Lonchura striata: one gene and its partner. The protein of the gene in region 2 purifies or fractionates together with the protein of the main gene of each other region. This does not show direct contact. Links are inferred from orthologs where the notes say so. Each region holds a gene or a part of one and is shown on either strand. Other genes may lie near its edges.

Region 1 (3,745 bases), on a different chromosome or scaffold from region 2:
CAAAGGACATAATCATAGTGAAACAAGCATGATTTTATCCTGCGCATGCTGGGTCATGGTGGTACACATGACACTTTTAAATTTCAAAAGAGAAGTTAAATGATATGAAAAAGAACCAGGCTTATTTTCTCAAATTGATTAAAACAATTGGGGAAAATTTCCAGGTGCTCTAACATAGACTCCAACAAGCAGAACATCCCTATATGTATTCAAAATAAAATACAAAAAAAAAAAAATACAAATACAAAACAAAAATACAAAAAACACAGTTTTCAATCCCATTCACAAAAGAACCACCATTCCCATGTTTTTAAACAGCAGCAGCAATTTAAAAAAAAAGGAAAAGACCAGAAGTCTTGTTTGTTATTTAAAAAAAAGCATCAAACCCACACAACTTTAGAGTTCTTAAGAGGACTTGGACTGAGAAATCTCAGGCTTTAAAACACACAACTCTTCAAGCCTGACTTTTTTTGCTAAGTCACAGAACCATACCCTGAAATAAACCTGAACAAATCAAACACTCATTTTGGCATCTAACTTGGTGCTTTTGTTACTATATTCTTGGAAGATTCTCAGGACACTCCAATGAGGAGAAATAGCAAACACCTCTGATAAACAAAATGATCTTCTTAATTCCAGCAGAAAAGATGCTACATTAAATAGTAAACACTTAAGAGTGCAATGGAAGGTATTTGTAAAAGAGAGATAAAGCACCTGTAACATTGTACAGAAATAATTTCAATTAAAAGTATCAGCTCTGTAAATGTAACTAGTGGACTATGTTTTCTTTCACTATTTTTCTGTACTGAGTTGACAGAATGATACTATACTACAAGCTGCATCTGTTTTAAAAGACAAGCACATCTGATAGTTTTCTCTCACATCCATATCAATTTAGCAATACAGATTTCCTATTTTCAATTCAACACACTCAGTTAAACTGAGTTTTGCTGTATTTTCAAATTTCTAAAAAGTACCTTAAACTGTTTCCACAATGAAAGGGCACAGCTATTCAGAGCCAACATCTAAACCAAGCAGTTTGTGAGAACTGCAAGTCTATTTCCAACAGTTTTCATTCTTATCAAGTGGTACACCTCTCACTATCTCCAACACTTCCCTCTCCCCCCATCATAAGTGTCTAACACAGTACAACTCAGAGCGTGGCTTCTTCCTTAGCAGGTAATCTCTCTAACTGGATGCTATTTGCATGAATTAGGAACTTAATCTTATCTTTTAGACCTCTCCCTTTCAAACCAGTCAGCTAGTCAAAAGAAAAAGAGAAAGAAGATAAATTGACAGTACAATCATAAAGGTCTTACTTTGTCAAGAAATCAAAGCTAAAATCGGGTACAATTTTCTACTGAGAAACTTTCTGCTAGACATGCAAGAGGCATGGCAAAACCACTCTGAGAAGCAAAATTCTCACAGGGCTTCAAGTTTGCAGACTCTTACTGAAGCAGGTATCTTTTCATACAGACAGAGGGCCCATCCCTGAAGTGATGTGTAAGAAACATGCTTAGTCCCAGAATTAGACCAACACATTACATAGAAGGAAACATAAACATATATTTCATTAACTGGAGAAAAAAAGAAAAGGAATAACTACATGTGTATAAATTACAGGTTCTTGTCACTTAAAGGAGAATTGTGATACATGTTTCGTTTCTTAAGCAGTAGCAACTTCTGAATGACCATAACACATCACCTCAGACATCTGATTTACAAATCAATAGTCAAGTGTAACATCCCTTAACAGAAATACTGTAGATATGCTTAAAAACTGAAGCCCAGAAAGTGCTGCAGTCAGGAGCGACAGATCACATACATCAAGGCAGCCTGCTCACAGGTTCAGATCCAACTCTTCAGACTGGACAGAAGGCAACACGAGCAAAGTGATCAGACCCACTTTGTCAAGCAGGCCTTGGCCACTAGTTAAGAGACCCTCGCACTACTTGCCATTCCGGCGGCCAGCCGCGCCGACAGCACCGAGCAGTCCCATGCCCACAGCTGCCCCAGAGAGTAGTCACCGAACCGGGAAACTGAGGCAGCGGCAGGCTGGGTTCACCCAAGGTCGCCCAGCGAGCCCGGTCTCCCGGGGGGGCGGGAGAAGCTCGGAGCTCCCGGGGCGGCCCCGCACCCGTGTGTGTCACGGCGCGGAAGGACGGGACCCCGGGGCTGCCGCCTTCCCCTCCCGGCGCGGGGAAGCTGGCAGGGCCGCCTCCCTCCCCTTCAGGGCCAGCGTGCGCCGGGCGCCATTCCCGCTCCCGGCCCTGCGCAGCGCTCACACCGACCTGGCTACCTCGGCTGCTGCTCCCGGGCGCTCCCGCCGCCGCTGCCGCCCGGGCTCATGCGGGGGCCGCGCCGCACTCGGGGCCGGGCCGCGGACGAGAAGGAGGCGCCGCCGCTGCTGCTGCCGGGGCCGCCGGAGCCGCGGCCTGGCGGGGCGGGGAAGGCGAGGCGGGCGGACGGGCCGGGCCGGGCGGGCGCGGCTGCTGCTCCTGCTGCTCCTGCTGTTCCTGCTGCTGCCGTGCCGGCCGGGCCGCGCTCAGCGCGAGCCCCGCGCCTCCATCTTGGGACAGCGCGGATGTCGGCGCGGCGCAGGCTCGGGGCGCGCGGGGGGGCGCGCGGGAAGGAGGGAGGGAGAGAAGGAGGGAGGACCGGCCGTGTCCCGGCGTGCAGCGCGGGCGGGGGCGAGGCGCGGCGGCGGCGCGCTACCCACCGCGGGCAACCATAGAGAGCTGCCGGGCCGCGCCTTCCGGCCGTGTGCCCTCGCGGCGGCGCCTGCGCGCCCGCGTGCGCGAAGCGGGGGCCGCCATGTTGGAAGTGGGCAACGCGGAGCCGTGGGGTGGGGGCGCAGCCAGGCGAGCGCGCGGGGCGGGGCTCGGGGGTGCGCGTGCGCAGGGCGCGGGGCTGAGGCGCGGGTGGGGCGGTGTGAGGGAACGGGGGAGTGCGTGTCGGCTGCGGCTGTGCGCGCACATGTACGTACACACACACATACGTGTACGCAAACATCTGCAAATGCAAACACGTACACGCGGGTGCACACGCACTGACACAGGCACGCAGGCACACACAGGTGCCCAGCCGCACACACGGCCCTGGAGGCCGGCGGGCAGACCAGGGGCTGGTGGCACAGCAAGGGACCATCGCTGCCCTGGGCAGAGTGGCCGCCACCAGCTTTGAGTCCCTCGGCAGGTCCCCGCTGAGCTCCACCGGAGTCCCGCCTGTCCGGCAGGCCCCACGGCATCCCGGCCGGGGTTTATCGGGTTTAATCTGGGCAGGGAGCCGTGGCCGGCCGGCGGAGGGGAGCGGTGGAAGGGCCGGTGGGTGACCTCTGGAGGGGAACCCGTGCTGGAGCCGTGAGTCAGCCAAAGCACGAGAGGCCAGGCAGTGCCAGGCCTGGCCAGCCCTGCCGTGTCTGGCCCCTCCCAGCAAGGGAGGAAGGAGGGGGAGACCGAGAGCGGGGTGACCCATAGGCGGCAAAGCGTAGGGGCAGCCTTGCTGTCCCCGCCTGCCGCGCTGGGCAGAGAGCCACCGCGGTGTACGTTTAGGTCATCAAATGCCTGGTGGTGTTCAAAGCTAGCACCCTGCGGGGCACACAGGGCAGGGCTGGCTGGTGGGGCTGGAAGGGTCAGGGACCCGGCCCGGGGATGCAGCCTGAAGAGTGAGCAACACACCCCCGGTCCTGTGCAGCCCTGCCTGACAGCTGGCTCTCCCCTCTGCCCCAGGCATAATTTTTCCGCGT
Region 2 (3,745 bases):
GCAGCACTCACCGTTGTCTGGCCCCTGAAGTTTCATAGAGTACAGCTTGACAGGCTGGCTAAAAGCTACAGTGATGAGCAGCTGTGGGGGGAAGCGAGCACAGTTACACACGGGTGTCACACAGTTGCACACCCAGCACACGGGGCTGGGCAGCCCTGGAACACAGCAACAAATGCTGTGCTCACTGCCCCTGAGCGCACTCTGGCCCTTTCCCCCCAGCTCACACTCCTGTGCCAGGCCACGCTCAGTGGGGAAAGCGCGGGCACCCCCAGCCGTGTACCCAGGCCTCCTGCGGGCTGCCAGCCTGGTGGGAGCACATCCCGGGATCACAGCAATCCCTGGAGCTGTGGCAGCACAGCCCTGCAGGAGAACACCCCGGGAATGCAGCAATCCCTGCAGCTGTGGCAGCACACCTGCTCGTCGCAGTCGGACTCCAGGTAGGAGGAGTCCTTGCGCAGGCAGTTCTCGAAGCCATGCTCGTCGCTCTCATTGAGGCACTCGCAGCCAGCCTTGTTGATGAAGGGCAGCAGATCCATCTGGGGACAGAGAGCACAGCTGCTCACAGCTGGGACAGCACAAAATTCATTTCAATGACTAGGGACATTCTTCATCCTTAATAACCACGTATATGTCAATATTTACATTTTTTCTGGAAAATAAAGCCCAGACAAATTATTTTCTTGGGCAGCTTTGCCTAAAATCCAACTCTTTGACTTCAAGCACATTTGAAAACCAGGGTTTTTTAACACCTGAGCTGCACGAGCACTCCAACAAAGCTCTGGGGAGATACTCACGTATCCTTTGGGAATGTCTGTGTCTTCGCTGTTGCCGGGATCGTTCTCCAGGTGCTGTTTGATTTTGTCTTCCAGGCCCACAGCATCTGCTCCCTGGTACTGGTCGATCCGCACCTTGTTCCGGAAGAACAGGAAGGTGGGCGTTGCTGAGATGTTGTTGGTGGCAGCCGTGCCCTGGGAGCAGACACCAGACTCCATTCAGTGCTTTAGGTCAGTCCCACTGCACCACTGGCAGCCAACTAGCCCCACTTCTTCACGTTTGCCTTTAATTCCCACTAGCTAAACCCACCAATAAATGCACATGCTCATGTTTGCCTTTACCTCCCACAAGTGCTGTGTTCCATGGCTAAAATATTATTTTAGCAGGGGCTGGGAACCAACAAATCAATGAATAACTGCACTTTTACACTGCTCAAAGGAAGGGCAGCACAGTGGCACTGCAGGAATATTTCCTCCTAGGAGGGATTTGTTTTCCCAGTTTGGGAGAAGTCACTGTCACAGCTCCTGTGCTGCAGCAGGCACGGCGAGAGGCATGGACACTGCTGGAGCCTTTCCCAGCTCCCCATTCCCTGGTTTTCCTCTCCCATCCTGCTCAGGACACCACTGCAGCCTTTCCCTCCCTGTTCCCTGGCTCCCCAGCAGCAGGAGGCCCTGGAGCCCACACCTGGCACTGGTGCACGTCCACCTCCAGGAATGTTGCCTGAGGGTATTTGTTACTCAGAGCGCTGAAGGCGGGTGCGATCCGCAGGCAAGGGCCGCACCTGTGGGAAAAGTGACACTTCCACTTAATTCCACTTTTGGTTCCTTTTCCAGTGCCTGCCCCAAACGGAACCAGAACGTTCCTCTCTTCCTGATACCCTGCTGTAAAAACAGCCTCTCTACCTGCAGCCAGCTGGGGATACAATGCAAGGTGACATTTGGGAATCTGCAATTTATTGCCTTTATTTGCAACATTTTTACCACAGACCTGCTCAACAAAGTGTGACAAAGGAGGGCAAAATGAGCAAAAAAAATACTATTAACAAAAAAATACTATCATTAGTTCATGCCACCTCCTTGGAAAAAAATTATATTCACACATAACTTAAATGTTTAATGGTCAACATGTATCAAAGCTTCATGGATTATAAAATTGTTCCCACAATAAATCTCATTTACACCTGAACCAGTTATTCTCATATTTATTTGGTTCTGAGAGGACATAGCTGGTTTCTTTTAATTTATTTGCATTGCCTCATACGAAAATTAGTATCTTTTACTTATTCTGCGTCAGCAAAAATGTATGAAGTGCTCAGCTGCACCAATTCCTGTAAAGGGAGTTTCTCACTGGGAAAGGGAAAAGAAAAGTGAAATAAAAAACCCCGACATAGAAATTGGCAAAAAAAACCCCACAACTAAGAGGCAGCAGCCAAAAAAATAATGAGGTGCCCTATGAACCCCCAAATCCCCGGGATTATCACTATTCTCCCCAGTTTCACAGATTAAAGGGAATGATTCAGATATGTAGGTTCATTTGGTGACAAATTCATCCCGATTTCACCACAGCTGCACCTCCCTGCTGAGGACGGAAAAGAGAAAATCCACTTATCGTGGGCAAATGGGGTACGGATGCAGCCAAGTTTTATGGGGCAAAAGGTGTTTTTCCAAGTTTTAAGGTGTTTTTAGTGCTGTCCGTGCCTCGCTTCCGTCATTTTCGTGCCCTTTAAGGGGCTGTAAACCAGCGCAGCCCCTGCTCCCTCAGAGCGCCGGAGGGCTGGCGGGGCGCGGGCGGCGGGCTCGGCGGGAAGAACGGGAATTTATTCCGGGAGCTGGGAACGGGGTGCTAAAAATCACACAACTTCTAAAGGCGCCGATGCCGAGACCGCCCTGACGCGTTACGGAGCGCTCCTCACGCCGCGAGCCGCGCCGGAGAACCCCAATAAAAGCACGGGAACAGCGGAGCCCTTCCCGGGAGCCTGAGCCGCACGCCGCCCTCACTCACCCCCTCATGGTGAACTTCACCACGGCCAGGCGGGAGCCGGCGGCGCTCAGCTCGGGCTGGAACTCGGTGTCGTTGGCGATCACCTTGACGCCCGCCATGGCCGCGGGCCCGGTGGCGGTGCCGGGTGCGATGTGCAGCGTCACGGCGGGCAGGCCGCCCGGCATGCACCGCTGGGGCCGCACGGGCGCAGGCGCGGCCGCTCCGCTCCGCTCCCGCCCGCCGCCGCCATCTTTGGAACGGGCAGGCCGTGAGGGCGCGACGCCCCCCGGCGGCCATTTTGGGAATGGGCAGCCCGTGAGGGCGCGACGCCCCCCGGCGGCCATTTTAGGAACGGGCAACCCGTGAGGGCACGACGCCCCCCGGCGGCCATTTTAGGAACAGGCAAGCGCAGGAATTCTCTGAGGCGAGATGCGCCTTTAGATTTTAACATAAAAATTTAATACTGGTTTCGTCATAAACTCGTTTTTTGGTGACGCCAAAAGGGGGAAATAAAAGATGAGTGCTTGTAATAACTACAAAATAAAACCAAAATTAAACCCGGGACTTTCTCTGACTCCATTTGCAGCGTCATTCCTGACAATTTCCCAACGTACTTTATAACACAACATCATGTCACTCCAAGCTGTCTAATATTCCCGCTTTTCCCAGCAAAGACCAGAAATACCGCCGCCATTCTGCCCCCGCCTGCTGCAATTGAAAAGCCTTGCAGCAATCGGTAATTAATTATGAATTGTCACCGCGCAATCACCCGCTCCTGGCGCGCCCTCAGCGACCCCAGCAGTTTCCACGGCGGCGGCGCCTGCCGTCAAGCGCGCCGGCCGCAGCTTTGCGCCAGTGTCGCGGGGCGCGGTGGCACCCGGCCGCTGCCGCAGCGAGCGCGGCGGGGGGACACGTGAGGGCCGGGAAGGGACCGAGACCGGGACAGGCACCGGCACCGGCACCGGACAGGTGCGACCTGGGGCGGGGAACG

Evidence for each region. Proteins that work in one complex are often made in the same cells at the same time.
Region 1: the proteins of TXNL1 (region 2) and UBE3A purify together in Homo sapiens (affinity purification with mass spectrometry; 3 studies listed by BioGRID and IntAct, with this or other methods). This does not show direct contact. The link is inferred for Lonchura striata from reciprocal best matches to the Homo sapiens genes TXNL1 and UBE3A.

Annotation. Positions count from the first base shown.
Region 1 is NC_134604.1:85,913,035-85,916,779, reverse strand, and holds the start of UBE3A (ubiquitin-protein ligase E3A), read right to left. Parts: upstream 2,408-3,745; 5' UTR 2,292-2,407; intron 1-2,291. UniProt on the Homo sapiens protein: E3 ubiquitin-protein ligase which accepts ubiquitin from an E2 ubiquitin-conjugating enzyme in the form of a thioester and transfers it to its substrates.
Region 2 is NC_134642.1:658,404-662,148, reverse strand, and holds the start of TXNL1 (thioredoxin-like protein 1), read right to left. Parts: upstream 2,946-3,745; 5' UTR 2,940-2,945; coding exon 2,776-2,939; intron 1,556-2,775; coding exon 1,459-1,555; intron 969-1,458; coding exon 795-968; intron 537-794; coding exon 414-536; intron 82-413; coding exon 12-81; intron 1-11. UniProt on the Homo sapiens protein: Active thioredoxin with a redox potential of about -250 mV.